Lepisosteus oculatus: one gene and its partner. The protein of the gene in region 2 interacts with the protein of the main gene of each other region in a biochemical or structural test. Links are inferred from orthologs where the notes say so. Each region holds a gene or a part of one and is shown on either strand. Other genes may lie near its edges.

What was found. The genes of interacting proteins can lie anywhere in the genome.
Region 1: the proteins of cul3b (region 2) and dcun1d5 form a complex in vitro, tested with the Homo sapiens proteins (2 studies listed by BioGRID, with this or other methods). The link is inferred for Lepisosteus oculatus from reciprocal best matches to the Homo sapiens genes CUL3 and DCUN1D5.

What each region holds. Positions count from the first base shown.
Region 1 is NC_090700.1:10,125,564-10,133,631, forward strand, and holds the start of dcun1d5 (DCN1-like protein 5), read right to left. Parts: upstream 3,341-8,068; 5' UTR 3,232-3,340; intron 1,481-3,231; 5' UTR 1,424-1,480; intron 1,035-1,423; 5' UTR 989-1,034; intron 903-988; 5' UTR 865-902; coding exon 794-864; intron 1-793. UniProt on the Homo sapiens protein: Contributes to the neddylation of all cullins by transferring NEDD8 from N-terminally acetylated NEDD8-conjugating E2s enzyme to different cullin C-terminal domain-RBX complexes which is necessary for the activation of cullin-RING E3 ubiquitin ligases (CRLs).
Region 2 is NC_090708.1:6,825,828-6,833,870, reverse strand, and holds the start of cul3b (cullin-3b), read right to left. Parts: upstream 3,365-8,043; 5' UTR 2,985-3,364; coding exon 2,922-2,984; intron 1-2,921. UniProt on the Homo sapiens protein: Core component of multiple cullin-RING-based BCR (BTB-CUL3-RBX1) E3 ubiquitin-protein ligase complexes which mediate the ubiquitination and subsequent proteasomal degradation of target proteins.

The sequences.
Region 1 (8,068 bases), on a different chromosome or scaffold from region 2:
TTTCTTTTCCCTTTTTGTTTTTTTGCGGAATTCGCTAGCCTCACACCGCCTCTGCCCCCTCAGACGGGGTGTTGGCTTTTACCGGTGTTTGCCACGGCTCCTCACACTCCCACATTGTTACAATAGTGAGGAAAAGTTCCAGGAATGCTTTCTGTGCTAGATCAGAGTGTACAGACACAGTGGTTGGATGGACCTGATCTAAGATAAAAGGATATTAGAGTTCATTGTTACATATTCCACACTGCTGTAAAACAGTTTCCAACAAGGGGGCAGTGGAAAGTATTACACAATCATCAACAAAACAAGAGATGCTGAGATTCGAGGGCATGTTCTTCATCATATAGATTCCCATTTATTGTTTCGAGTGATGATCAGGTGTCAGAGTAATCTGACTAATTCACTGTAAGCATCTGTGTGATCTTCTTCTAAATTACATTCATGTCTGTTAATCTGGAGCCTAAAAGGCTCCACGGCCGAAACGTTTTGTCTCTTTTCGGCATGTTCTTATGTAAAATAAGGTACATCATTTGCTGCTACTAACCAGCCTCATCACAAATATCGCAATGGATTATTTTGAATGAAAATGTAAGAATTGTTTCTGTTTACATATATTAGTCATGTATAAATCACATTTCGCCAGAAAGTGTTTTATATAAAAGTCTTAACATAAAAGTTAAATTGTTGATGGTTTAACAAGTGCTAATTACTAAAATGAACATATAGTAATCTTTATCATGTTCCGTTAAGGATAACTGTCCCATCCAAAACGGAAACCAGACAATGGAAATCTTACCTAGTTATTTTGCATTTTCTTAGACCAGAATCATCAGGACCTGAAGACTTTCTCTTCTTTTTCACTGGCATTATGGAATGAGTGGACGTTCTGCTTATCTGACTCTGTCCTGGTAAAAAAAATAAATACATTTATGAGTGCAAATGTAGGACTGATTTGTGCAAATGATGGAAAGCTTAGCAAATTAAGAGGTACCTATGTATTTTTGGTCACCTTGTCCATTCAAATCTTCTAATAAATTCTATGAGACATGAAATAAGAACATTAGTACATAACCTGTTACCTGGTTACAAATAGTTCTGAAGAGTAAAGTAGTATCAAAATAAAGATCGTCAGTTCTAAAGCCTCAAAAGCATTCTTACCACGATGGTTGACTTTCATTTATAGAACTTTTCCATATATTTTCTCTTAGAGAAAACATACCCCAACACCACATGCACACAGCGAACACGAAAGAGTGACGGATGAAAATAAGTACAATAAGGTCAGACTCCAATAGTGTTTTCCATTAAAGACTGAAGTTCCGGTTCCCTCATTTACAGATACAATGACACCAACAGAATGCCCTGTTGTGGCTATTCAAAAAACCTTTGCTTTCTGTAGCTCTGACAACCAAGATAAAATACATACAAGCCTGTCGAGTGTTTGAGATACGTGCTGAATGTCAGCCAGTACGCACAGTTTCTTCTGAAACACAAAGCAAAAAAGAAAGATGGTTAGAGCAAGCACTGGCTTAGAAGGCCCTAAACATCCGAGTAGAGAAAATAACTAGATTGAGCTAAAATGGACATACGACCAAGACGACATTCGTGCATTTCTGTGGCCCCTTTAAAACCAAAGCATCCCAAATCACTCTACATATATAAGATGACCAACTTGATCTTCCACTGGAGTGAAGCACCCATTTACAGTACCTGGGTGACATGCAGACAGCCAGTATAAACCAGCAGCCCCACTCCAAAGCAGATCAGGAGGACAAGTGAGAAACTGCCTCACCAGTTAATTAGTAATTTTAGGGAGCCCAAGACTGTGCAAGACAAAAGCAGAATTTAGACACTACACTGGGTTAACAACCCTACGCTTGTAACAGTTTTTCTTTGCCGACTGTGAAATTAAGATCATAATGTTAACAGTTCAACCTTTTTAAAAAAATCAGATTTTCCCTTTCGTTGAAGCTCTCCATAAAGATGCTTTAGTCTCAAGAACAAAATAATCATTCAATCTCTTTGAACCCCCAAACCACATCAATCTACACGTCAAGACGTTTCCGCACCCCTCCCCCCCAAAGAAATCAGACTATTGTACAAGTGAGTAATTCCTTGTAATAGTAATTATATTTAAATAGTCATGGAAGATTAAAGTGAACAGGTCAGGACCACGACACTACGTCGTCGTGTTTAAAGTTTGCGCAACGAACAGGGAAATGTAATGTATATTTTAAGTCTAACTCATATGGCAAAGATTCTTACACTAAATGAAAGAACATACGACATGGACAACTGTGTTGTAAAAATATTACTCTTTTTTCCCCAAGACACCCAAGTCTGGGACACTGGCGATATCGTAGATCTTGCTGCACGACGAAACGTTATGCATTTGAACCAAAACTAACATTTTCATGTAAAGACCCATATTAACTTCCCACGCATAAGCAGTAAAATAAGACAAGTTGGCAAGGCAGATGTACGCAATAACATTTCTATTAAGAAAGGTATAGTCTTTTCTCGAATATTTATTTGAGCCTGAAAACTAACTGCGTCACCACTTCATGGTGAGAAACGTATTGCTGCAAAATCCAACAACTTAACCGAGCTACCTATAGGTCCAAATACATTTGCACATTTTGGCGTGAAGAAAACGATCGGGCATTTCGTCTTGCCCGTGCTTCACAATTTATCAGAGAAGACCCAGTCAGAAAAATAATATCCACCAGTCGTTGCAGTCTGTCGAGGTATTTCACGGTAATTCGTTACTGCGTTTATACGGGCTGACGTACCATAATCAACAAGACATTCATTTTCAAGCAACAAAAATATACAGGCCTGCACTGTAGCGAAACAAAATCGGATAACCTATCCTTTTTTAGCCAAACAACGAAATCATAACTGAAAATATCCCACCGCAAAAGAAGGACTGTAATTAGTTTTGTTTCTTCACCGTCGTGCTGTACAGTACTTGTATCTTTAACCGTTAAACCGATCCCCGCAAGGTCTTAATCGGCAGTTCATAGTTTTTCTTACAAGGTTGTAACGTTCTCAGTAAGATCTGTCCCAGCATTTTCCAGGCTATATTTAGTCTAGACTTAGCTACCACTAGCAGCAGAAGAAAAAAGGACTGGACTTATTGAGCAAATACCGTCGTTAGTTTCCGTACAATCCGACAAGTTTTGCACTCACTGTTGAGCTAAGTAAAAACCTGAGACATTTTATTGTACAAACCAGTTAATTCCGACACTTTGTTTTCTTTTTGCCCGCACAGCAACCGAACTCTCCATCCACCAGCACAGAAATGAGTAACACTTTCTCACACCGGCACTGCAAACTCCTTCCTTCCGGGGCAACAGCAACCCTCTGAGGTCACAGCATTTTGCACATTTAAAGGGGGAGGTCAGTTAATTTGTAACATATACAAACACAGGTAATACAACCAAATCAAGTATTTAAAATCTGTTTGCTTTTATATAGATGGGGAAATGTAAAAAAAATTAAATCTTTATTTTGTGGCAGAATTCATTAGTTCGCTTTATGTGATAGATGCATTTTGCCCCCCTCGGCATTCTTGAAACTAGTTGGTCCCGTTTATGCAAGTGCACTGGTTTGTGGAAATGTGAAAAAAAAATACTGCATAAAATAAAAAAAAATAGATTAACAGGCATTTATAAAATGCAAAGTGTGTTACAAGCTATAATCTTGCAGCTCCCCTCAAAACTATATAAATGCGTGAGATTAATTATAAGTGAATTTACAGCACTAAGTACCATTAGATCTTAATCCGGTGTATAGGCTAAAAATGTTCCCCATACTTTCGTGTTTTCAACAGGAATAAAATCTTTGGTATTCATATCATTATAGTGACAGTTTTAATCATCAGAATAAGATCTAATGTTGGTTATAAAGAAGAAGTAGAAGACAAGGTACATGAAGAGTAACAAAATCTTTAAAATAAAGTCAGGTGTTATATAAACAATTGATAGGTGCACAATTTCAGTGCCATAAATTAGTTGCGTTAGTGTTTATATGCACATAAATAATTTGCATTAGGCTGGAGGTTAATTCTGCTGTGAATAGAACCATATTTCACAGTTATTTTAGAGGTCTCATCCATAAATGAATGTAAACAAGTAAAATATTGGGTGAGTCTAACCTAATCATATTTTCCCGTCATGAAAAAAAATGTATCAAATGCTTCTATAGAAATGACTCTTTAGAATGTAAAAAAAAAACTGAAGCACTATTACTACATCTTTTTACAAAAACAGAAAAGTCAAAACTGGAGAAAAGCTTATGTTAGGAGAATTATAGGAGTGTGCCTTCCTTCTAATCTTATATAGGGAAGATTGAGATATACTGTAAGAGATGTAAGAGGATCTAGAAAGATACAAATTCACCAAAATAATTGCAGCAAGCAATTCAACAGCCTCTTTACCGTTTATTTTGCAAGAAAATAAATTATACAACTTAAAAAATAAATTCAGAAATAATGCATTACATCAAAATAGTTCAGCCAGACAGCCATACATAAACGATTATCATTCAAAAAATTGTACAGCATTTTAACCTTATGTAGTGGCACACATTCAACTGGTATATGTAACATAAAACCTAGGAATTCAAGTTTGCTTTGCATTCCAGGCTACAAATAGTGTATATACTACAGAACAAACAAAATCATACTCTATAAATGGATCACAGGTTAATTGTAACTTTTACAGACAAAATTCACCCATTACATAAAAAATGTAAAATGTTTGTAATTATCATACTTGTGAGGATAATAAAAACAGACACTACAATTTTAATTTAAGGAATTTGTACCTAAGAACTGTCAATTCATCTATTAACACTTATATAGTCCATCAAGTTTCTCCTATCAAGTCTAACCTCAAAGTGAAGTTAAACTAAGAAAAAATGCTTTCAGGAAAAAAAAAATCATTTTCCACTTTCACATTTTCACAGAGATAAAAAGCAATTATAACATTCAGATTTTTAGCACATTTGTATATTTCATGTTATTTAAAGATTATTAAAAAAAACTGAATTTAGATCAAAATCTCATCTCAAAGTAAGAGTAAAGGCCAAGGATTTTCATAAATGTTTACATTTTATTCATAAAAAAAATCACTGTCAAATCATTGTAGTGAAGGTAGAATGAACCGCTATCATCCAGTGGAATAACTGGGGAAAAAAAAACCTGTTTGGAGTATCCCCTCAGGAGCAATAAATCTTGCATGGGATAGAGTTTAATGTCAACATTAAAACTAAAAAGTGGAAGACATCACACTACATTAGGAATATCAATTCAAAAGATTTCACCAAAAGTGTAGCAGGCAGTTCTGATCTCTTTAGTTAGTGTAAACTACAATGCCACACTGAATATTTATCAGAACCTCAAACAAGACATACAAGGGCAGAGTGCTTGTATCGGGCTTTTAAAGATTCATGTATCCTTTTAGTAAGTTCAAGAAACCCCACAGCAGCAAAACTCAGAACTACACAGGTATAAATCATGTACAGGAAAATGTTCTGAAACAAAATGTTCAGATGTATTTAAAAGAGGATAATTGAAACCCAGACATCCTTATTACCATGCTGGTGCATGTATAGTAGTTGTAAAACTATTCAACAATCCAAATGCTTTTATTTTCACTAAACCCACAGCCGTCAAAGAAACCGAGGAATCTTTTTTTATTAAGATAATGGGGAATACATTATTTGACAAATAAGGCTACTGCATATAAATCAAATGGTGATATGAAAGACATTCATACACCTATAATTTTACACTTCCATATTTTTCAATACCCATCTCTTGTTCAAAAATATTTTAAAAGCTCTAGGTATCGATAAAAATATATGATACAGTCCAGACATTCCCTGGATCAAAAGCTAGGATTTGTGATCGTTCTTTTGCAGGATTAAGTACAGTAATTCAGGTATTTCTCAGAAAATGTGATTTAAGAATACTATAAACTGCACACTGTTAAGATATGTTCTGTGTGAAACAAACTGCAAACTGAATAATGTTATAATAGAACAGAATGGTCTTATGGCATTATACCTTGCATAGATACCAATAGAAAACCAATCTGTTTTGTCACAGAATGAGGACAGTGTTATACGTTTTGATATAACTAGAGTTAATTAATAGCAAAAATATTCTAAAACTATTGCTATTGTGCCCCCCTTTTATGCCTGTATTTCTAGAAATATAAAAGGGTGAACTGTGCATCCATAAGTAGTTTTTACAGGCAGTCAAGAACTCCCTCCTTAATGGTTCATCAATCACGAACACAAGCAAAACACAATTCTAGGACAATAATGTAACACTATGTTTCAGGCAATGCGCAATACAACACTTTTCTTTACAGTAGACCACTAGTGAAATTTAAAACAGGAAAAAAAACTGACAGCAAAACAGCATGCTTTAGTGTTAAATATAAATTGAAGAGATTCACCCCTTTAAGTTTTTGCTCGAATTAAATATGCTTTTGTTACAATTTTTTGTTCCTCTATACTTTATGCATGTACAGTATATCTTATACTGGAAAACAAGGTGCAGAGAACGTGTTGAGAGAAATCCTGGAACAAAAACGTCTTTGAACAGCTCCCCACTGTGAAAATGAACAAAACCATTCATGTACGTAAAAGGTAATGAAATTCCCTAGCTACTACTTAAATATTATGGACATCGTTATAAATGGAGCAATGACAATATCCATAGAGAACAGATCCACCCTGCCACAAAAGCTGTCACAATTTCAGATGTTAGAAACCAATGGAAGTAAAAAGGGATCAAGCGTAAAAAAATACATTGTATCGTTATTGATCTTCAGAAATAGTTTAATTTAATTGTCTAAAAGCCCAATACATTGAATGCAGAGTAAAATATATACATATATAACAAAAAAAAAACTCTAAGCACCATATTAATGGCTAATGTGAACACAAAAAATAAAAGTAACAAACACAAAATATAGAAGAATTTGTATTATCATACTAAACAATCACCACTCTTCCTTAATTCATAGTCGATTCTTATATGAGGCAGACAGACGTTTTTGTCTAGGCTGAAGAAAACATCACTGGTTACTAGGAACATTTGACAAAACCAGCTGAAAAGCCAGAATGAGAGGTGACTGATGCTCACTACCCTGCCATTCTGCTGACAACAGTCTGCTAGCAACACACAGCCACCAATCCTCGACATTACCTCCTTTCAACAGGAACTCTTTACAAGAGAGAAAACGGATTGGCTGTATTCTCTGGATGCAAAATCAAACGGAATACCTAGGAAATCGTCTGCTCTACCAGGAACACCCGTTATCTTAACGAAAACCAGATTCTGAAGGAAAACAAACTTTTAACCAAATTGTTAATTGGGTTCTAAAGTAAAAGAAGCATTCAAGGGGGCTTTTTGACAAATTGGTAGTGACAAAACCAGTGCAAACCTGAAAGTCTTTGTGAGCACTTACAAACCCCACATACTGCAGATGTTCAGAGGTTGCAAGTACCCGAGTTTCATGGACAGGCTGCGATAATTATTAAAATAAGATGGTATCGCGTGTCAAGACAAACAGGGATGTGACTTCATTTTTTAAGAACATAGGATTTCTAATCTAACGGCTGTAAAGTCTAAAAATGATCTGGAGAACATAGTGTGCAGCATGACAAGGTCTACACAAGAGTAAGCAATCCTGTACACATTGTTGTCCATCGAGTTGTAGGATTACCTCAAAAAACACTTTTATGCCACTCATGTAAAAACATTGTACGGCTTCATTTACTGTGACAATACCTGTACATTCTGAAGTCTAACCCTTGATGGTTTACTGCAAGCAAATACCATGCTTCAGAGATCAAGGTTACAGATCTTTTCTACAGGTTATTTTAAAGTACAATTATAAAACTGAAAGAAAATATTAAAATGAGCAGTGAAACCTTGATTTTTCTTTGATTTAAAAGAAGTCAAGTCACACGTTTTAGTCATCCGTATTTCAAACCTTTTCTGTGGGCTTTATCAGCAGATTATGCACCCCAAAATAATTTTCCATGAATG
Region 2 (8,043 bases):
AATATATTTGTTTGAACATTTATTGCTCAACTTTACTGTACTTTCACTCTGCTTTATTTTGATTTGACTAAATTCTCTACCCCAGGTGCTGGAAACCATCTGTTCAGTTTATCTTATAGTCTGTCTTCACATAAAGGTTGGGAACGCTATAAATCACTGTTTAACCGAGTAATATGTCCAACTAAAAGAACTGTAATATTGAGGGCTGCAGAGTACTCAGATTTTTTGTTGCAAATGAACTAAATTATATAAGGATTATAAATGATTTGGCAATGGTATAGTGACATGTAAAGATGTAAACAATCTCTCCCTTTAATTCACTTCCAATCCTTTTCTCTTTCAATTTCAGCTTCACTGAATTCTTTTCAAAACATTCTAAATGGTATAAACCAGAGGTTTCAAACAAACAGGCCTGGAGAGTCATATTTCTACAGGTTTTACAGACCTCTTTAAATAAGCAGCCCCTGTAGAGCAGGGACATTTTGTTGAACTGCACAAATCAAGCCTAAAGCTAGTTAAACTTGACCATTAACGGTTGCGCAGGAATGAACACCTGCAGGACTGCAGACCTCCAAAACTGGGTTTGGGAAAACCTAGTTTAAATGACAGAACACCAATCGGTAATTTATATGTCACATCTTGATTTTAAAATGCTTCCTTTAAAATACAATTAGAACACAGAGGTATTATGTATTGATAATTTATCACAGGCTTTGATCAATATGAAATCAGACACTGCAGTCATCGGTTCCCTTGACAGGTTAACACTGGAATTATGCTGTATGAACTGTCATCTAGTCATCTATTAGAACCATATTCAATTAAAAGCCTAGAAAAATTATTCTGTGGCAATAATTCTATGATAAATGACTGAAAATCATTTCATTCTGCATGTGTGTTCCCAATACTCTGTAGGAGTACAGCACTCATTTTACACTACAGCATAAGAGAGTACAAGAGGAACATATGGCAACTACAACCATAGGACATTATGGTACCGGTGTTACGAAGAAACTATGGACCATCCTTACACTGGTCAGCATAAACGTAGCTCACCAAGACTAGGTGTATGGAAAGAGAATAATGGAGTGGGTGTTGCATTTTACTACCACTTGAAAACATTTCAAGTGTCAGATGATGTGAGCAGGCCTGATTCACTGACATTTCGACTAAGATGATGTGTTGCCCTAAATAACTGTGTTGACTGAAACAGCACAGATCAGACACCCTTGGGATGGGAACTGGCAAGACTGTGATACCTCCTATTAGGTTTTTCTCATCCAGGAATGGACTAGGATACCCCCTGCCAAGATCACTTAAAATGCAACCTGTGATACCCACTGGTAAATATCTACACAGCAGATATCGGAGGACTAATCCTTCCACTTCCAAGGCAATTCTGCGTGAAGCCAACTCACTGCTGGACAACTGCTTTGACATTTAGTTTTCAGTACATCTTAAGCAGTTACAAGCAATTACAGTCAGGTATAATGTATCAACATAGCTTCAACCCCCTGATATGTTGTATTTTTTAATAAGCACCTTAAGATGTTAAGACTAATAATTTTTACATAATTTTCAGCCTTGATCTACAAAAGAGAGGTCAAAAGTATGAGATTAAAACAGTTAATTATAGACAGAAACAGCAAGATGTTTCTGCAAAAAGTGAAATGCAGGACCACCTAGTATCTGTTTTAAAACAATTTGCCACTGAAGTATTTTTTTTAAAGGAGCAGGCAATGAGCAATTCAGCAAATCACTGATTAGCAAGGAAAACAACTTACAAGGGCTGCACACGAATCAGGACATGACTTATGAACTGCAGTTACAGGCCAGTCCTTACACTTGCTTATCATATGGGCTTTCCTGAGGTATAAAGACAACTTTGGCATGCTAGGATCATCAAATAACTACATGTCCCTAACCCAACGAAAAGAGGGTCTCCTGAAGGAAGACATGTTAGAGACAATATCTGATGACAGATTTCCAGTGTTTTTCTAGAGTCCACAAAACGATCGAGCTTCCCAAAACTAACGACATCATTTCACACCTTGATTTACATACATGACATCAAGGCATCTTTTCACCTTACTATTGCTTTACTAACACCATTAGTAGTGACTCATTTTATGAAACATGACTCTCCTGACCACCTAGATTTTTATGAGATTATCGTTCATTTCTTTTAATTCGACGTATACGCCATGAAATATCCTTATTTTAGTTGTTCTTTTAACAATGCGAGTCATTACGACGTTTGACAACGCTTATGCATTCAAACCTCAGTATTAAACAATTTTATCGGACAGTCAGGCCTACACACTGCTGTGAAACTAATTTACTCACTGCGACAACCATGTCGCGGAACATGTTCTTGTTTTGGCAACTGTACTGACTTCACAGAGCGGATGATTTAGTACTTTTTGTTACGTTCCGGGTGTGAAGTTCACCTTGCTAAACATGCAATTAGTTCTGCTAACTTACCTGAAATCAGAAAGAGAAACAACCTCATTTTTGTTGTCGTAAGGCTTAATGCTGTGGCTATGAAATAGCTATATGCCATCACGATCTATAATGAAAATAAAACTTCCTGAACTACTGAAATGTTAGCTACCATTTCCCCCCTGCCGATTTGCTCACTGACCTATTAATGTGTCAAAAATGAAGGCCTCACTAACAACAAAGATTTAACGTCGGACTGTAAATTCACTCCTCTGTTCCCAGACATTACTTTTTACTTAAGAGGGGGAAAAAGGCATTTCAAGATCGTGTACACGAGCAAGGTTTCAGTAGCTCGCGTATTTTCAAAGCCTTTGTTTACTAACTGGGAGGCCTGATTTTCGCCATTCCCTGACCGAATCCCCGGCGCTCGAGTCTCCTCGCCCGCCCGCTTAGGTGCCCCGTCCCCGGCTACTACTCACAGGAAAGGCTCGTATCCTCATCTTGGTGTCCTTCTTGGTGCCGCCTTTGCTTAGATTGGACATGTTTGGATCGCGTCTGTTTCTTTATTTACATTAAAGACTACGTGGGCAGCTGCGGGAAAATGTGCCGACGGGAATGCCGTTTAGCCCCCTCGACCTCTCCGGCGTGTCTACGTCCCTCTTTCTGGGCTGGTATTGTCACTCCGCCGCCGCCGCCACTCCAAGTGCTCGGCTCTTTCTGCACAGTGATGGCGGACAAACAGCTCTCAGTGCGCAGGGCTACCCCACACCGAAACTCGCGCGAGATAAAGGTAGAGGGGAAAAAAATCTGCGGGAGACAAAAACACACCATTAAAGCCATGCGCTGCGTCGATGCAGCATATTAACCTTTAACGTGAGTTTCACGCCTCCGGGTGTCTGCCGTAGGAAAGGTGAACCGTGAGGCGAGGAACGCGATCTTAGAGGCGCACGCACAGTAAAGGGAAGCTAGTTAAGAAAATAAAAGTTGGGGGGGAACCTGATGTCACGGTTGAGTGTTTCAGAATATGATGATCCGCAAAGAAAAGGCAGGAGAATATAATAACGGGCACACTTTTGTACTCACTCTCATACGGTGGCACTTAACATGTTTGTTACCAATGTTTTGTCAACAAACTTCTTGGGGCCAGAAATGCGACGTACATTCAGATTCCGTTCCTATTCATGTAGTTGTACATGAATAATAATAATAATAATAATAATAATAATAATAATAATTGCTTACACTTATATTGCACTTTTCTGGACACTCCACTCAAAGCGCTTTACAGGTAAAGGGGACTCCCCTCCATCACCACCAATGTGCAGCATCCACCTGGATGAAGTCAACGCCTTGACATTAAAAATATTACACACAACTGCAGTCCTGTTACCTATATGCCATCTCTTGCCAAAATTCTTGAATTGGTCAATCAATAGCTCAGATGCCTGTGTTATGATCTGTTTGAAGCTTCTCTGAGTCTGAGTCTGAGTTTGGAGAGAGACTTGTTATGGTGGGTATTGACTTGATGGTTTCAGTCTCTAGGTCACTTAATTTTCTTTTTTATTCTGGTCCCAAGTGCAGTTTTGTCTGTCAGTTACACTATGGCACTCTACAAGAGCATATGGCCCAAAAATTCCCATTGGCCCTTACCAATCATGGCCTCCTAATAATCCCCCTCTATGAATTGGCTTCATTACTCTGCTCTCCTCCCCACTGATAACTGGTGTGTGGTGAGCATTCTGGCGCACTATGGCTGCCGTCGCATCATCAAGGTGGATGCTGCACATTGGTGGTGGTGGAGGGGAGTCCCCATTACCTGTAAAGCTCTTTGAGTGGAGTGTCCACAAAAGTGCTATATAAGTGTAAGCAATTGTTAACTAATTATAATTATTATATGGAAAAGTTTGTAGGGATTAGGGATTCATTGCTTCGGCTGCTATTTGTTTAAAATTCATATGGCTATTGGCTATTTCAAATATAATGTTATCACAGATATTCTAGGAGGTCCATGTAGTTCTCTGCTAGGACAATTACTATTTAGTGTATACATTTATGGTTAGACTGTTCCTCACCGTGGTGTTGATTTCACTGTTATGTTCATGACACCGAGAGTAACATGCTATAATTAATAAGACACAGCTGACATGGATGCAACAGAAACTGTGAAAGCTAAACTTGCCTTTTGGCTACTGACAACAGCTGTGCAGAATTGGTGATTTCAGTGTTGTTCTTAAAGGTGCAGAATTTAAACCTTTGACTAAAGAAACCTTGGTGTTAATTTATGATCTTGTATTGACATTTGACAACACAAAATGAATCTTATTGTAATCTATACAACATTGCCCAGTTAAGATCCTTACTCCATCTGATTTTGAAAAATTGATAATTACCTTTATTTAATAGATATTTAATACATATTAGATTGTTGTAAAACTTGTTATATCTGCTAAGGTACTAAATAAACATCAGTATGTTGAGATTTCTGTGGTGTGTTCTCTAACTAAAACTGCTCTGCTTCAACATTTAACCCTTTTAAGAGAAGCCTTTAAAGTTCTCCTGCTTACAGATAAGGAACTGAATGGCCTAGATCCAGGTTACTTTAGAATGTTTTGCATGAGTGTAGTTCAACATTTCATCTGAAATCTATAAAATAAGGTCATCTTCTTCTACCTATGAACAGGTGTCACACAGAGGATGATAACGCGTTCTTTCATGGAGCATCACAACTCTGGCATTCATTCTCACAGAGTCTATGACTGTGGATATTCCAAAGAATCCTTGAAAGGTTTTTTTCTTTATATTTTCTTCTTAGAGTGCACCGTTTTATTTTAATCTTGATTTTATTTGGCCAATTTAATCTGTCACGTGTGTTATTTTTGTACAGCTGTGCAGCACTTTGAAAAATGCTTGTTCTTCAAGGAACTATGTAAAATAAAGATGATGATTATTACCCACAAAAAGAAGTGTAAAGAAGATGAATATTACTACTATCATTACTGTGATTGTTAATTTATAGCTAATTGAATAATTCATTATGACCACAAGTGACACCAACACTATCAGTTTCAGAATTAAACCAATCTGTGCTTTTACAGGTTTTGTTTAAGGATTTGTTTTGTAGTATAAAGGTTCTGTCAATAATTCCTCATTTCATTTTAAGCATGACTAAGTGCCTGCTCAAACCAGTGTCCAATTTTCAATCATGTGTGGCAGTCGTAGGTGCACAGCTGTCCTTTAGAATTAGCTTCAGAGCAAATAGTCTTGTTCCACTTGTATGCATTATCCATCTGGTCAACAGAACTGTCTTTTTTCCCTCAATTTAAAAACAGAATGCATTGCTGAAAATTCAGTGTTCCACTTCAAACAATGGCAAGTCCAAATACTGGAAAGTTGAGATTAAGTTTTTTTTACCAAAGAAAACATGAATAATGTTGAGCTCATGCCTTGATTAACTTCTAAATGAAGGGCTGTATGTTCTAGTCGACAATGTACAGTGTTTCACACATGTACAAACTAGGTTGTAAAACTTATTTAAAGGACAGTTAAGTTTTTGCCAAGGCCCTGTTCAAATGACCTTCAGGATCAGCTTACACTCCTTGATATTTCCTCATGGGAAACCTGGAGGACTTTTCTTCCTCGCAGCTGGATGAGGTTTAGGCAAGTGAATCGACATGTTCAATGATACGGCATGAAGGTCAATTTGAATATCTCCTGTAATTAGAATTCCTTAGCAGATGTCTCGTTTTAAATTGCTTTCGGCTCCAGTTAAGTCATTCAACTGCTCCCCAGAAGTATACAGAACAACAGCATTTTTAAAAATGTATTAATACAAACCAATTTTTGGGGAAAGAAGGTGTATCTGTGGCAATTCTTATACATTTAGCTCTATACTAAAACATCAGGCTCCATGGTGTTCAGCTTTTTTCCACAACCTTTTATTTAATTTGCATATCAATACACAAAGTAATATGTAATCCTCTAGATGTATAGATGCATTTGTGCATTGATCAGAAAATGGTCAAATGCAAACAGATCATTCCGATATTAAAGAAAGAGCAATGACTTGCAAACGGTTGTTGCTGTAAGTGGCAGTTGTGGACCAGTAGGTGGCACTCTTTCCTCTGGACTAAACATCTTTCCAAACTAATGTGGTACACGTACTGTACTAGGAAACCTGTGCTATAGAAGTTGACATCATTCATCTGAGATACAGTTTAACCACTGTCCCGATAACACATTTAACACACCATGCTACCGACCGCAAATGTATAGGTGATAACTCTGCAGTATACGATCAAATTCCACAGTCGGACTTCCCCCTTCATTCAATTGATGATACAGCTTCTTATTTTTTCTACTTCATCAGGTGTGTGGTTGTGCTTCTGGTGCCTGGTGCAGAATAACCTCTGCAGGTCACCCACACTTTTGAAATTATTTTGTTGTATTTTCGAATTTGGTCTAGAAATGATTGTTTATAAAACGTAAGGGACGAATACTTTTTTTTTTTGTCTGTGGAATTCTGAAGCGGAATTGCCAAGATCGTCTCTTCCAGGTTAGGAGATGCAATAAAGTTTTGCGACGCCAGAGGGAGATGTTTACCAGTCGATTGTTTATGCAAATACTTGTAGTGTTAGTGGTAGTCAGTAACAGTAGTAGTAGACAATTTACAGTCTTTAATTTTTTGTATTTTCTGAGATACATCAAACCTTTACAGATCTGACAGCTCTTGCCTGTCTGTGTAATATCGGAGGTGGGAAGCATATTACAGAGAATTATCTCAAGAACCAAGAGCTTTGCTTCTCCAGGAGTGGAACTGGATAATCCAGGTACTCATCATCCATACACGGCCTCCGTCAACGAGGCAGCACTGGATCCTGTGATGTAGCTGCCGTGTATAGGAATCCCTAAGATCAAATGCAGCGTGAAACCGACCACAGGGTGCAAAGCCTCGATCAGATTCAAGCACGTCATTCTAAGCCAATTGAACAAACACCCCCTGTCCCCACCCCGCGCCTACAAACAACCGCAACTGGAGTGCTAAAGTTTTTATCTCTTCCAGGCCTTCATTTTGCTTTCTTACACACCTGCTGCAAAAATGGGAAGGAAACATGGCCCATTAAAGAATTACTAAAAAAAGAAACCGAGTTATTATTCAATAGTAAATCTATGATTAACACTGCAGATGGACGTCCGTATCTACGATATGACTGTAGAGAGCAGTTTTGCAGAATTTGGGCAGATGGAAGAAAGACAGGAGAGACCCTTCCTCCGAGGTCTGTTGCGTTTGAGCTTTGCAATACCCACAGCTTGATTTAATGACTTTGGAAAGATTTCTAAGAGACTGGTTGTACAGTACGTTGATTCGTGTACAGTCAGCTCTCATGACAGTGATAGACCATGAGTCTATATTTTGTCTAAGAACCTCTTAACGATGGGAGTCCTGTTTCAGACCAAGGAATTGCAAATGATCAATGTGAATTCAGAATTCAGGAGCACGTCGTTACTATAACACTTGCAATTTACAGGTAGTCTTAAGCAGTTCAAGAAGCGATGAAAGTGTCACCATCATCGTTAGTTGCCAAAACTTATTGTTCGTTATTA